2 linked regions of the Caenorhabditis elegans genome follow. The protein of the gene in region 2 interacts with the protein of the main gene of each other region in a pairwise test. Each region holds a gene or a part of one and is shown on either strand. Other genes may lie near its edges.

The links. Proteins that work in one complex are often made in the same cells at the same time.
Region 1: the proteins of pix-1 (region 2) and pak-1 interact in a two-hybrid assay, tested with the Caenorhabditis elegans proteins (one study listed by BioGRID).

The regions. Positions count from the first base shown.
Region 1 is NC_003284.9:6,043,779-6,050,474, forward strand, and holds pak-1 (Serine/threonine-protein kinase pak-1), read right to left. Parts: upstream 4,827-6,696; 5' UTR 4,821-4,826; coding exon 4,740-4,820; intron 4,581-4,739; coding exon 4,502-4,580; intron 4,454-4,501; coding exon 4,347-4,453; intron 3,799-4,346; coding exon 3,651-3,798; intron 3,603-3,650; coding exon 3,388-3,602; intron 3,344-3,387; coding exon 3,251-3,343; exon of another isoform or gene 3,102-3,250; intron 2,985-3,101; coding exon 2,417-2,984; intron 2,367-2,416; coding exon 2,293-2,366; intron 2,239-2,292; coding exon 2,116-2,238; intron 1,504-2,115; coding exon 1,432-1,503; intron 1,275-1,431; coding exon 1,116-1,274; 3' UTR 531-1,115; downstream 1-530. UniProt on the Caenorhabditis elegans protein: Required for hypodermal cell fusion, together with cdc-42 and ced-10, leading to embryonic body elongation, which involves dramatic cytoskeletal reorganization.
Region 2 is NC_003284.9:13,725,283-13,733,301, forward strand, and holds the start of pix-1 (SH3 domain-containing protein), read left to right. Parts: upstream 1-2,010; 5' UTR 2,011-2,019; coding exon 2,020-2,091; intron 2,092-2,201; coding exon 2,202-2,328; intron 2,329-2,372; coding exon 2,373-2,417; intron 2,418-2,469; coding exon 2,470-2,605; intron 2,606-2,998; coding exon 2,999-3,094; intron 3,095-3,138; coding exon 3,139-3,261; intron 3,262-3,315; coding exon 3,316-3,445; intron 3,446-3,688; coding exon 3,689-3,748; intron 3,749-3,836; coding exon 3,837-3,991; intron 3,992-4,038; coding exon 4,039-4,169; intron 4,170-4,235; coding exon 4,236-4,509; coding exon of another isoform or gene 4,510-4,513; intron 4,514-4,615; exon of another isoform or gene 4,616-4,704; intron 4,705-5,068; exon of another isoform or gene 5,069-5,158; intron 5,159-5,475; exon of another isoform or gene 5,476-5,585; intron 5,586-6,028; coding exon 6,029-6,141; intron 6,142-6,214; coding exon 6,215-6,491; intron 6,492-7,874; coding exon 7,875-7,950; intron 7,951-8,013; coding exon 8,014-8,019. Other genes in the region: K11E4.6 (G_PROTEIN_RECEP_F1_2 domain-containing protein), read left to right, coding at 76-275, 324-507, 554-721.

The DNA.
Region 1 (6,696 bases), 7.7 Mb from region 2:
ATAAGAAATATGAAAAAAGTGGCATTATAGCACTATGAAACATTTGTAAGCTCCTGAAACTTTCAATCACTATTATGGTGAAAAATATAGTTCCAGAATACTCACAGGGATTATTCACATATTCAACTTGTTATGTGACTTGATTTTTTAAGTTTTGCTAAAATATGTTGTGCGTGTTCTTGAAAACCTTTAAAATTATCAATAATCAGCCTGACAACATTATCAGCCTCTGGAGTAACTTTTGTGTCCTTTAGCACAGTTGCTCTCAACAAAGTTCAGATATACCTAAATTGTGGTGGTGGGAGTTGAGTTGTGCTGCTGCAATTACTAGAATAACTATTTCTAGAATAAAATATATAGTCTAAACATAATCATTCAAATGAACTATTTATCATTTCTAATTTTTGAGGTAAACTACCTTATACCATGTACCTGGTCAGGAATAATAATAAATAATTTTTCAAAAGAAAATAGTACAATTTCCTTGAACAAAATTTGACTATTTTGAAAACTTTTCTGATTCTATAAGTAAATTCATCTCTCTTTTATTAAACATGATCAATTGTTTCAAACGTCATGAGACAAAATTTAAGATTTTGACCTTATGGCCGATTTTTAAATTGGAAACCACATGAAAACAGAGTTTCAATAGTTCCCACCTACAGACACTTGAAAAAGAAATAGGGAAATTTGGGCAAAGCTGGTTAACTGTAGATTTCCGTTCGAACGACACAAATGCAAGAAACCGAATGAAAAGAAGACAAAGTGAAGACAAAAAACTTACATAAATAATTGAAGTGTGTCGTCTGATTGGGAACGCTCAACAACAAGAAAAAAGAGATAGTCCAAATTGTGCATTGCGAGAAGAGATAAAGAGGGGGAAGATGTGAAATAATGAAGGGGCTTGAATTTTTACTCGTGATCGATTCCAGAAAACATTACACAAATTACTAAGGTGTGACTTTTTTGTTGGGAAACGGTAAGTTGGGCTCAAAGTAGATAGTTAGAAATGACTTGAGATGGAGAGAAAAGAAAACAGTTTCAAAGTAAGTACGACTTGAGATTTGAGAAGAACAAGAAATACACGTCGTGTATTGAGAATACAATCATCATAATTATGAGTTGCTAGCTTCGGCGATGCTCTTCTTCGCCGCAACGATTAAGTAGTACAGTGAAGCAAGCGGTTTGGCGCATCGGAGGAATGGATGCGTAAGGAGTTGGCTTGCCGACCATCGATTTTCAACTTGTACTTCCAACGCAGAGTCGACAAAGTCCTGGAAATTGGGACAGAATGGGAGAAATTGATACTGTACTGAAAGTAAAGTAAAACTGCGGTAGCAGTTGAGTCATCTTTTGTACATTTGTGACTAACTGTTAACAAATATTTTTTTTATCAAATCTTCTGTTTCGAAAGTTCTCGAGTTCTCTTACCTTGAACAACAAAGTCATGGAATCTCTTCCAGGGAAGTCGGGTTTGCCATTTGTAGCAATGAGATAGATAGCCTGAAAAAAAATATTTTTAAGATCAATATTGATTGATGAGAAATTTTAAGCTAAAATTATAAAACCTAAGTATAGCTGAAACAACTTTAACTTTAACTTTCTCGTCATTTTACAGCAACTTCTCAACAACGTCTCAATCTTCTCAACTTAAGCGATTTTTCAACAAAGTTTACCCAGCTTTCGGTAGTTCTCAATGCACATCTGTATCTTGCGGTGGGGGTCATCCCTAACTTTTACCAACTTTACCCAACTATTGCAACTTTTGAGATTGGTTGCTAAAGTTAGCTGAGAAGTTACGGAAAAATGTAAAGTTTCTGCTAAATTTTTTCTTAGGCGCCTGTTCAATAACATGACCTCAACCTGAACCAAATTATTTTCTGATCGTTATGGGCAAAACTGGGGTTGCTATTCTTACTAGGGAATAGTGGCCAATTAGATTTTTTTGAAATTCATTAAGCAACAAATTTATCGCTGTAACAACAAATTTCCATTTCTCATTCACACTCTGCGAGCACAAGTGTTATTGAAAGGAATCATATATTCAGATTCATGTTTTTTTTTTCAATTATCAAGCGTTGTCTTCTTAAATTCAAAAAAGCAAATATTTCATACCCTGAGTGGATTTTCATTCAAATATGGCGGTTCTCCTTCGACCATCTCAATCGCCATGATTCCCAAGGACCACACATCAACCTTGGGTCCGTATTGTTTGCGGGTCACCACTTCCGGCGCCATCTGCAATTGTCAAACATTAATTTCCTATTCGCTTTTTCAATTTCCATCACTCACCCAGTATGGAGTTCCGACCATTGTCGTGCGTTTTCTTTGCTCCGGCGAGAGCTGAGCACAGAATCCAAAGTCGGCTGAAATTCACAGAAGTAGGTTGCAAAAGCATTAAAAATTATAATCTTACTCAATTTCACCGAACCATCCATTCCCAAAAGAATATTGTCAGATTTAATATCTCTGTGAATGACGTGGCGGCTGTGGAGGAATTCAAGCGCTTGAAGAACTTCTCTGCAAACAGCTGCAATAATTCCATCCTCCATCTGGCACTCCGTGACAACATCAGTCAATGATCCACCGGCAAGATACTCCATCACTACCCATAATTCATCGCACACCAAATACGAATCCAAATAATTTACAATATTTGCATGCTTATTCTCACGCATCACCAAAATCTCATTAATGATCAATTCCTTCTTTGGTTGATCCTTCAGGTTCATCTGCTTGATAGCCACCTCCGCTTCGGTACTAATTTCAATAGCGGTGTACACAGAACCAGATGCACCTGAGCCGATTTTATCAACTTTTCTATATTTTCGATCTGGATTTCCGATAGACACAATGGTACGGAGCTTAGTCAGCACTTCAGCGTCAGTCATCTTTTTCTTAGCTTTTTGACCTCTGGCCTGTACACCAAATTGTCCTTTTGAAAGGTCTGGAATTTTTTCTTCCTCCTCTTTCGGTTTTGTGTACTGAAAATATACTTATATGTTATAGAGAACTTGGGAAAAATTCGGTACTTGTGTATTACATGCCCTCATTTTGAAATTGAATTAAATTTTCATTCATTTCTCCATATAATTTAAACGTGATATACATTTTTCCTCTCCAGGCTTAGAAAGATTATTTCCTAAACCTAGAAATAAAAAATGTGGTACACGTTTTTATTGTTTTTAACTTAAAAAAATACTCTAAAACTAAGGGCATGTAATACACAAGTACCAAAAATTCTACTCACAATACTCAACGTCCTTGCCGGCCTATCAGGGATAGCGGGAGGAACAATATCAGCAGGAGTTTCACCATGGGGGACCGGTGGCGGTGCATAACTCTGAAGCAATCAATATGAACTTCAAGATTATTCTTCCCACTTACCGGTGGCATACTCGATCTATTCTCATTTACACTAAACGTCGTCGGAGGAACTCCTTGCTTGCTGTTATACCCCGCACTACTTGTACTGGTTGTCATTGGATTCATCTTTCTTGGATCCTGAATTTTATTGCCATGATACGGCAGGGATGATGTGCTATATGGTTGCGGTTTCAGTCCGTATGATGGCGTCCGAGAAGGTGCGTCATCTATAAACACTGTAGAAGAATGAGCTCCATTAGCAAGACTGACTACGGGTTACTTACTCATATCGTACTGCAACCACTTCTGGCCGCTGCTTTCGCCTTGTGTGTAGTATTTGAGCGCGTCCAACACTGCCTGAGGATTCTGTTGCTGCTCTTGTTTTGAGATCTGTGAGTCTGTGAGAAGACGTGCCCATGCTTCAGGCATTCCCTGAAAATTTATATTGTTGATAAGGAGCAAAAGTTTCTGAGAAAAGTTTATAAATAAGATTCTACAGTAGTTTCTCAAGTCTATTCGACAAAACAGACCTCTTCATACTAAAAAAATTGGGACAATTTCATAGGTCTTTAGAAGAAACTATCTTTGGTTGAATACATGTTCGTGATAATTGGCTTCACTTAAATTTTTCTCGTATGGATTTGTTTTCTTAAAACGTCTCAAAAACGCAAGCTTTATTAACACTAACCATGGTTTCAAGAATAACACGTTTTTAGAAGATAATGCACTGAATTAACGGTTGCAAAATATTATTATAAATTGAGATTTGTTTATAATGATTTTTTGACTGAGGGAAAAAGTAAAAGTAGTAGTTTTTAGTTTTTAGCTTACTATTAGCATTCACGTTAATCTGGTACGATTAGCGGTTGCGACCGGTGTCAGAATGACAGCTGTATCACTCGTTCATCATTGGAAAATAATCTTGCAAGTAACGCAAGAGTGGGAAAACTGCTACAAAAACTTTTTGAAAAAATACTGACCGTAAATTCGCCGGTTTTTGGGTCATATCCGACATGAATTGTGTGTTCGAAATTGCTCGGTCGAGAGATCACTGGTTTTTCTGACGCTTCCTTTTTGTCTTTGTTCTCTGAAAAAAACAGGAAAATCAGGAATGGTTACAAGAGCAATATATTACTTTTCATGAACGGGTTAGGCATCGTCTTCTTTTTCTTGGTTGCTTCTGGCTCTTTGGGCAATGGCTTCAATCCGACGACCTGAAAAATTGAGTTAGTCAAGACATGGAGAATGGAAAAAAGAGAAATAGAGATGGGTGGGAGAGGGGCAAGCAACACATGCATCATCTGATTTGGAAGAAGAACCTTCGAAAGATTGTCGCCCATCTTTGGGGAGGAGTGGAGGGACGAGTTAATTACCTGATTCTCCCTCGTTGCCGAGCTGCTGAAACGAATTGGTGGTGCTGGTGGTTTCTCATCATACGATGAGAAAGCTTTCATTTTGGCAAGCCTGGAAAATTGAAACTGTTGGAAAAAGAAGACACAAGCATCAAACCAAAAAAGAATGAAGGAATACAGTATGCAATGTAAAACTGAAAAAGGAAAACAATAATTAGGAGGAATTTTCGTTGTCAAGTGAAATCGAAACTGTTGGAAAAATAGGAAAATTGGAACCAATATTCATGTTTTGTTGAGTCAAAAAAACATAGAAAAACGATCACAATAAAGAATCAGAAAAAGAAAGAACAAATTGCTGACCGCCCCCTTATAAAAAAATTGTTGGACTATGACTAACAAAAGAGGAAATTGATAGGAGCGGGCAGGGAAATGGATGCACAACACATGGTGTAAAGAGGACATTGACCCAGTGCTATGAGTAATCTTGGACCGAAAAAGCATGGCCCTTTCGCCTTTCGAGGTCGTCTATTGGATTGCTTTTCTATATTTTTTTAGTAATCTCAGGGTAGGAGTTATGGAAAATGTGGGACCCAGAATTTGACCTTTTCTTCGGAGTTCTCATTTGCATTATTGCTTCAAAGAGCCTATCTGCAACCAACGTCTGACGTGAGTTTGACCCGAAAAAGATAGATGGCTTTTTGGTTTTCAAAACGAAAGATTTCAAAGTTTAGGAGATGATGGATGGTGAATAAACTGGGCCAGAGGAAGAAGAAGGAATATTTTTCAAAGGAGAAAAAGAAGAGACGGGAATCTTTTTTAAAGTGTGATGATATGAGTCATTCATGTTTCACTTCATTTTATCGCCCACCACCGTGTGTTCGCGTACTTGTTTCCCGCTTGTCATCCAAGTGGCAATCAGCCGGATAATGTTCTAGAAGTGTGAAGCCGAAAAGAGTAGAAACTGTGAAACGAGGTTCGGAGTGAGTGACAATGTTGAGAACTAGTTTAGGAAATTAGAAAGTGAAAGCCGAAAAAAAGCTGAAAAGTTTGCATTCATACTAACGGTGAATGATGATACTTTTGGTCTAATACTATTCTCGATTAAAGGAGGGGTATCGGTTTTGGGTTTTTACTTGTAAGCACTCAAAATGTTCATAAAGGAACAAATTTAATAATGAGACCTCATAAAAATCATAGGGGGTTGATTGTGGCCATTTTCAATTACGTATGGGCTTTAAATGTACATTCATTAACAAAATAATGTAAGAAAATCACCAATATGCAATAAAAACATTCTAATCTTCAAAATAAATTTTCCAACAGCTGAGACATGAAAAAATAGCCAATTTTAATTAAAATTAGGTGTTTTTAAAATTTCAGACCGCCATAAAAAATTGTTGAACATTTTTTGAGAATCCTCATTACATAATCTGTTAATTTGGGAATATTTACAATCTAGACCTGCAAAAACCCAAAGGAAAATCACAAAACCGAAAGAAAAAAAAAAAAGAAAAATGAGAAACAAAATCTAGGTATCTAAGATTTTATTACACTGTCGATAAGAAATCCAATCTCATTTTGCACAATGTAGAAAAAAAACAGTTCGAAACCTGGACTGTTTGCTAGAAATGGAGAATGGCACTGTGTTTGTTGAACGCGCGCCATTTTCTAGTGTTATCAATTGAATGGAGGAAACAGAGAAAGATAACTAGTACGGTGGGTCGCGGATGATGCGGCCAAGGCAATTGATAAAGAGCTGCGGAGGGGCAAAACGGACGGATGAGGGGAGGATGTCGTTGGAGATAAAATCAATCGATAGCGGTCAAATGAAGAAGAACACACACAACCAGACATACGCACACACACATATACACGACAGGAAGGGGTGAAGAGGGAGTAAGAGATGTGAGTAAGAGAGATAGAACAACTTGGACAACCACCTAACATCTCGACCTCTCGACACTTATCATTTGGAGCT
Region 2 (8,019 bases):
TGAAGTTTACGTGTATGTACCATAAATTTTCGATACAATTTCTCAATAAATAGGTTTCCCGTTTTTTTTTTCCAGATTCTCTCCGCAATTCTTGCAATTGAATGGACTTTGTGGAATGAAGATCCATTGGAGCCCATGACCCATTGCCTTGTATACTCTACATCTGCATCAATTGGAGAAAGAATGTATATCGTGTTCCTGGGAATACTTGTTGTTGACATTTTTATATTGGCCGTTTTTCTAGCTTTATACCAAAATAACAAACGAAAAATATTGTAAGTAATGTAAATGTGAAATAATCAACTACATATATCTTTGATCAGATCCTCCGGGCTTAACAAAAAGTATCAGCAACATGAGAACTTGGTAGTGTTAAGAGCTCTCTTTCCAATGGTCTTGTTGAATACTGTCTTTGTTTCTGCCTATATTTTAATTGCCATGGTAGTAAGAGCATTCCGAGACTCTCTTAGTCTCACAAATTATAAATTTATCGCGATTAACACATTTGTAAGTTATTACTATCTGGTAAAGCATTTCAAAATTGAGATTTCAGATATTTCCTTACGTGTCATTGCTACTTTCTATGACAATTTTGGTGACCACCAGGAACGAGTTCCAGAGAAGACAACTCCGAGAGCTGAACCAAAATGGGAAAGGAGTATCGCAAACTTATTTCAATCTATATCAGCGGCAATGGAGCGTTATTTCCGAGAGAAAATGAATTTATCATAAATATTTTGTGACTAGAAATTGTGTGAATAATGTAAATTCGGGTCATCGTTTTTTTTTAATTGTATAAATTTAATTAATGAATATATATTTTTTTAATTTCTTATTCTGCATATTTTATATAAAAAGTGTTCTATTATTTGTTGGATTGTTGTTTTTAGGGCTATTAAATAGGGCATTTTCTCAATTTTTATATCATAGAGCGCGTATATGGATTTGTTTTTTTTTTTGTTGAAAAAAAAGAAAAACTAAAGCTGTTCTTTAAAATAATTTAAATAGGTATGTATGTATTTGAATATGTGGTTGAATAAAAGCAACAAATACGTGGTTTTGTAGCAATTTTCAGAAAATAGCTAAGCCAGAATACTTCCGTTGTTACATCTTGTCCTATAATCATTTTCAAACAAATTGTTCAGTTTTGTGGGTTCGGTTAAAAGATATAACATGATAAGGTTTCGATCTGATATGATCGGAACACGTTTTCTGTTTTCACTTTTTCAATCACAGACGACTATGTCTGCCATCCTCTTGTCTTACTCTAACATCATTTGAAAAATCTTAAATTGATTAGGTTTTTTGTGGAATTTTAAAGATAGCTTAGTATTGAAATTTTTTTGAATGTTACAATTGGAGTGGCATGGATTCATTGAGATGGGTTCCACCGCAAAAATAATGTTTATACCTACTTCAAATTTTTTGGGGATATTCTTTAAAACTTCTAAAAAGGGAAACGAGCAGTCGAAAAATAAGAAAAAATGCAAAAAATTATAGTTTTGTTTCTAAAAAATTGAAATGTATTTGATATCAAATTTGATAAATATGCTATTATAATGAGTTTTACCGGCATTTCGAAGTTTTCCTTCCTTGAATTTAGTTACTTTCCAAATTTACATCATAAATCTCTTTCTTATAAAATAAAAATTCATCTCTACACAAAACAATGTTCAAAAGAGCATCAAAAAGAGCACTTTGTTCGTGAGATGTGAAGAGAAAGGGTCAACACATGTTATTTATCACCGTAAGTCCGTTGAGGGGCCGCCACTATACGGGTTGAAAAGACGAGAGATACACCCCGCAAAAGAGACCCAGAGAGTGCGATGGAGCGCGTTTGCATTTCTTACTCAGTGTTCACCCGTTCTATCGATTCCATCGACAGTATTTTTAAACTCCACAGGGTTATTAATTACTAAAAATGTGTTATTTGAGAATTTATTGATTTTGAATTTTTCTCAATTTTTTTTGTTAAAAATTTATCGAATATGTTCACCGAATACAGTATTTTTTCAGAAAATGGAACCTGGTTCGGGTTCTCCGTTATCGGCTCGAGCGAAATTTCAATTCGAAGGTTCAAATAACGATGAGGTGAGGTTTTGTTTCCCACACATTCAAACTTGTGAAATTTTTTTTTAATTTAAAAAATAGTACATACTTAAATTACTTTTTGACAAAAGTATCATTCCACGAATTTTCAGCTAAGTTTCGACAAGGATGACATCATCACAATAACACAGCAGCAAGAAGGCGGATGGTGGGAAGGAACACATGAAGGAGTGACCGGATGGTTTCCGTGTGCCTATGTAACTCTCATCACAGAAAAAGGTAACTTGAATCGGAAAATTCGAGCTAATACCCACAAATTGCAGACAAACTCCAGCGATCTCGATCCGTCCCAAATGCAACTGCAAAAGGTATATCTCATGAAGATTTACTCGTTGAGACAATTCAAATTTAAAAATTCAGAAGTGGTATCCGTCGGAGCTCAACCAGATTATCGAGACCTTGTGCTCAAAAGTTATATTGAATCGGAAAAGGAGTACATGCAAAGCTTGCTCAAAACGTTGCAATCTCTATTGATTCCAATTGGGGCATCTAAAATGTGAGTTTTAAAATGTTTTTTTTAACTTTCAAAATGTGAATTTAATTCATTGCGGATTTTTCTTATTGCTTTTTTTGTTGATCAATCCAGATTCTAAAAATTGATAACTTGAAATTTGGAATGATGGGCACCTCTGCGCTATGAAAAAAAGTATCTTAAAAAGTGGGGCGAGTAGCTCACTGTTTCAAAATACAGTCACAGGTCCCATTTTTCAAAAAAAAATTGAGTCTAGCTAAAGCTTTAAAAAAGTATACCTAAATTATTACCTAAATTATTCATATTTATTTACAATTTACTTTGAGATTTACATTGAGAAAAACATCAAGTTCCATTGCATTTCCGGTGGATTTTCATTTTTGGGTACGACAATAATACATTTTTGACAATTTTCAGCTTGACGGCTCCAGAATACTGTACGTTGGTTGGGAATTTCGAAGTAATTTACACTCTGAAACGTGATCTTTTTGAACAACTGGAGCGTGAGCAAAAGTGAGTTTTAATTTCTCCAACCTTCTTCAACTTTCTTATTTCAGTGAGGAGCTTCCAAAAATGAGAGTCGGTGGAATGTTCATGAATGCTGCTCTTGAGCTCAGAACGGCACTAATGAGTTATGCTGACAATCATCCAGACGCTGTCGAAGTTCTCAAGAAGAAACAGTAAGTTTTGACAGAGCTAGAGAATGTATCGAATGTATTGTTTCGCGTTTTCAGGAAGGAGTTGGAAAAGGTGGTAAAGTCGCAGGATCGGGAGTACAAGGAATTGGTGTTAGGACTCAGTGAGCCACTCCGGCACGTCGAGAGGTACTACAACTTGCTCCAGGAGCTTGAGCGAATTGTTCCGGTGAGTATTTGAATCTAAATGAGAAAAAAAAACATAGGTCAATCGATTCATTAAACTCTGGAATTTTTTTTCATAGAGAAAGCACAGTTGTTTAATTAAAATACATCATTTTTGTGAAAATTTTATTATGATAATTTTTTTATGTTAAATTATCAAGTCTACTCATGTGAACAAACGTTGTTAATGCATAATAATTTTTATATCATTTTGAGTCAATGAGATCATCATCAAAAAAATTTTCAGGCGAATCATCCGGACCGTGGAGATTTACAACGTGGATCGGCAGTTTTTCGGGAAACAAAGGTGCGTTGTTTTAAAAATATTAGAAACACAAATCTAACTGACTCACAAGAATTAGGATCAACAAGTTTTAAAATCAAACTATTTTTAGGATTTGTGTGAAACCCTTCGTAAGCAGAAAGAAGCCCAACTCGACTTCTTGTTTGTGTCAAAAGTGGACAAGGTGGTTTCAGCGTCAGAACGAGGATCTATTCTCTATGTGGGTGTTGCAAATGTGGAATACAAGAAAGCGGATGCAGTGGATCGGTGAGTTGCCGAAAATTTTACCTGTTCAAATTTAGAAGTGATTTCAGATTCGTGGCATTGTTCACTAAATACATTATGTTTTTCGAAGTCACCAAGGATATGACATACGACATTAAGGAGAAGTTTACAGTGTCCGGTTTTATTGTTCGGAAAAAGGAAGCTACTGAAATTTCATTTGGTAAAATATTCGGATAAAAAATTAAAATTAAAAAAAAAAACAAATTAGTAACCCAAGTTTTTCTAGATCGCCCCAACACTGGAGAATTCACTCTAACGATGGTTTCAACCGGGGGTGAGGTGGAGAGATTCCTTGTTGCTTTGGCGAAAGCTGAAAACGTGGCAATCATCACTCCGACGACAACTATCTTGAGGAGACCTTCCAAAAATGCTAACGATACAATGAATCAATCACAGACTCAAGGAGCAGAGACTCCTCTGGTCGCAAAACCCCCACTTCATCCCCCAGGAAACTCGGATCAACAGTATAGTATGATGAACAAAAGAAAAAGCTCGAAGAAGTGAGTGTTTTCATGTTAACCGTGTAAAATTGGAATGAACAGACAATTATCAAAAATGTCTTCGCAACGTTTAACCCTCAATTATTTTCGATTAAGTTATATTTCTTTTCGCCGCCCGGTTAGCTCAGTCGGTAGAGCACCAGACTCTTAATCTGGTTCTCGCGGGTTCGAGCCCCGCATTGGGCTTAGTTTTTTGTTCGTTGCGATTGGTTTTCCTATTACAAGTATTTAAAGAAATTCCATGATTTGCCAAATTTTGAGATTAAATTCGTGATACCAGTTTGTATTATTCTCAAAACTTCAAAAGTAGTACCAAAACGGAAAAAAATTAAAAAAAATTTTTTTTGAATATTAAACACTGTATTGAAAAAAAACAGCGTGGCGTTTATGCACAGATTTAAAAAAACATAATTTTTGAAATCTGTTCAAACACGCTACGCAGTTTTTTCTCAGTGAAAGTGTACATACCACATACCGAGACGAACAAGTGGCGTCAATCACATTACTGTCCTTGAAAAACGTGACATATTTCTATTTGAAAGGTCGCACCACATCTACTTTTGCCGCCCGGTTAGCTCAGTCGGTAGAGCACCAGACTCTTAATCTGGTTGTCGCGGGTTCGAGCCCCGCATTGGGCTTACGCTTTTGTCTATCTCAAATGATCATTAAAAAAACTTTACTATAAAATTTACTCACTTTTCTAAATTGGGGTGCGAAGTTTCTAGGTGGAATATTTTTTCAACATTAAAGGAATTTTCTTATTAAATCCTATACACTTTTTGAAAGTATCGCTATTCAATTAATTTTCAATGTCGCGAGAAATCAATTTTGCCGGTTTGTTTATTTTAACAGTGTTGGCAACGACCGACGACCTAACAAATTTCAACACACTATTACACTAAAAAGTGCGAGACACTTCCTGACAGCCACAAAGTGCGCCTGACATTTTCACTTTTTAAATTACACGCGCCTCGGTTCCTATCGCCGCCCGGTTAGCTCAGTCGGTAGAGCACCAGACTCTTAATCTGGTTGTCGCGGGTTCGAGCCCCGCATTGGGCTTACCTTTTTTTGCATTTGTCCTCTAGACAAATGTATGCAAAAAGATATTGCAAATACGATTTTGATGGGATGGGATAGAGTATGAAGCGAAAAATTTGATGTAAATTACTACTTAGATTAATTGGTATTTATGTATTAGATGGACAAATCTCTTCTCACCAAAAATCTCTATGTTTTTCGATCCCTCGATTTTGGATAACAAGACTTGGCAACATTAACGCTCACCAATTTAGGCAACACAAGAAATTGTGTGTTCTTCACGGATCAAAACACGAAGACTTTCTAACTGTCGCATGTGAAATTTCGGACTCAATAGATCACGAAGAATAGTTCGTAACAGATACAATGGCTATTGAGATAGGAGAAATTAGGGTGAAAAGTTTTTTGTGTGGACAATATAAAAAATAATGATAAAAAACAAATAAAACATGGAACGAGACCTAAATTTTGAAATTTTCAGCTTTGATGACAGTTTAAACTTGGGAAATATGAAGTTCGATCATGAACTCGGAATGGTGCTCCCTGAAGGATTTGAGCTGCCAACAAGCAGTCGCAATTCAAGGAATACTGCAGGTAGGAGATATTTTGTTATTTATTGTTTTCTCTGTCGTGATTATGATTATCAACTAACAAAAATCTTTTTCAGATAACCTGCAATTCTCCCAGTTCCCATCGTTTTTCCTAAGCGGGAACGCCGGCAAACGAGGTGATCGTAACATTCGACTTCGAAAAGACGCGGCTCGTGATGAGGAGATTGAGTTTGAGACACTTCGAATTTTGGAAGGATACTGTGTGGAAACTGGTGGCGGACAGTCGGACTTCCATGCAAATGAAAGTTATCAACAACCACATTTGATTGTTGCAGAAGATGAGAAGATTCTGATGGAGGAGATGATTGGAGATGAAGTTGTTTTGCAAGAGAAGTAAGTTTTTTTTTGAACGATGAGACCTTAGAAGAGTCCAGTTCAGTTTTTCTAGGGTCAAGATTGTACACAATTTGTAAAAAAATTTAACCTTTTCGTTTCCTCTTCTCTTGCTGAATCATAGATATTAGGGTGGCGTATATGAAAAAATTGGGTGGGAAAATAACGGACGAATAGGAAAATCGATAATTGATTGATAAGAAAAACTAACTTCAGCAAACCTGAAATATCTAGAAACTTTGCAAAATTGGAATCCCCCCCCCCCCCCAAATTGATGTTTTTTTAGTAAAGAAGTTGATTTTTCTAAGGTTCTTTTAAAATTTCTGTTTTTTTTTTTCAAATATGTCCAGTGTTGATTCCCAAGTAGAGTAATTTGGGCACGTGGCTCAGCTTTGAACAATTTTTTAGTTCTCAATTCAAAACCGGCCAAAACGTTTTCCACTGTGTATTTAAAACTGAATGAGTTCTCAACTGATTTCGCATGGTTAAGAACGTGCTGACGTCACATTTTTAGCAACAAAAATCCCCCATATTTTGTAGATCAAACCGTAATCGGACAGCCTTGCACAACGTGCCAATAGTGATATTCCTAACAAGGCCCTTCATTTCGAAGCCAAAAAGAGATCAAACATTTACTTTCTGTAAAAATATAATTTTTGATCACCAGTAAATAATGATTGTTTTCATCTAGTCATGTTTGCTTCTTCTTTTTCTTCTTTTGTCTGTTTTGCATATCGTCCATTTTCAGTTATTATTTTTCGTACTGCTTTTAAAGAAAAGTAATAAGCTGACAAGGAAAAACAAGTATCCCCAAAGATAACAAGATGAAGAGGGGATAATTTTTGTAGAGACAATTTTTTGTAGTTTCCTTGTTTACTGATATTATTTGGTATTATAGTATTATAGCCGTTCATCGGAAATTGTTGTCTGATGAAAAACAGGACGTGAGTTGTTTTTTAGATAACTTTCAGTAGGATAGCTTGTTTTGTCATGTTTTCGACCTTTTTCGACCTTTAAGTGAAAACCATAACAATCTTTATTTCAAATTTCCCTTCACAAGTGTGTAATTTAAATAAATTTATAAGCTATTCTTCAACGAACATAAAAAGATTCGTGCATTTAGAAAACATTTCAAATTTATCTTTAAAACTTTATGTACATCGAACTTAGTTAGACATCGTCTATAAATCTGTCATTTTCATTCGTCGTACTCCTTGAGCACATCGGATGTATTTAGTTTGAACTTGAATAAGTGACCAGTATTTCCCAATGGTCAATTCGCTCTTGCTCCAACGACAATATCTATTCCTCCGACTTGCTCTCTCTTCGTCTATCTAGATTTCCGTTTCATTGCTCATTTGTCACCTCTTCTTTTTTTTTCAGAAGTATTGTGGATGCTGTGTACGCCATCAAAGATCAACTTTCGTTCCTTCAGACCGAATTTCAAAAACTAGCAAAAGTGAGTGAAAAATTCTTCTCTTCTGGTCTGTCACATCTAGCACCAATAATTTCATTTTTCCAGGTTGTT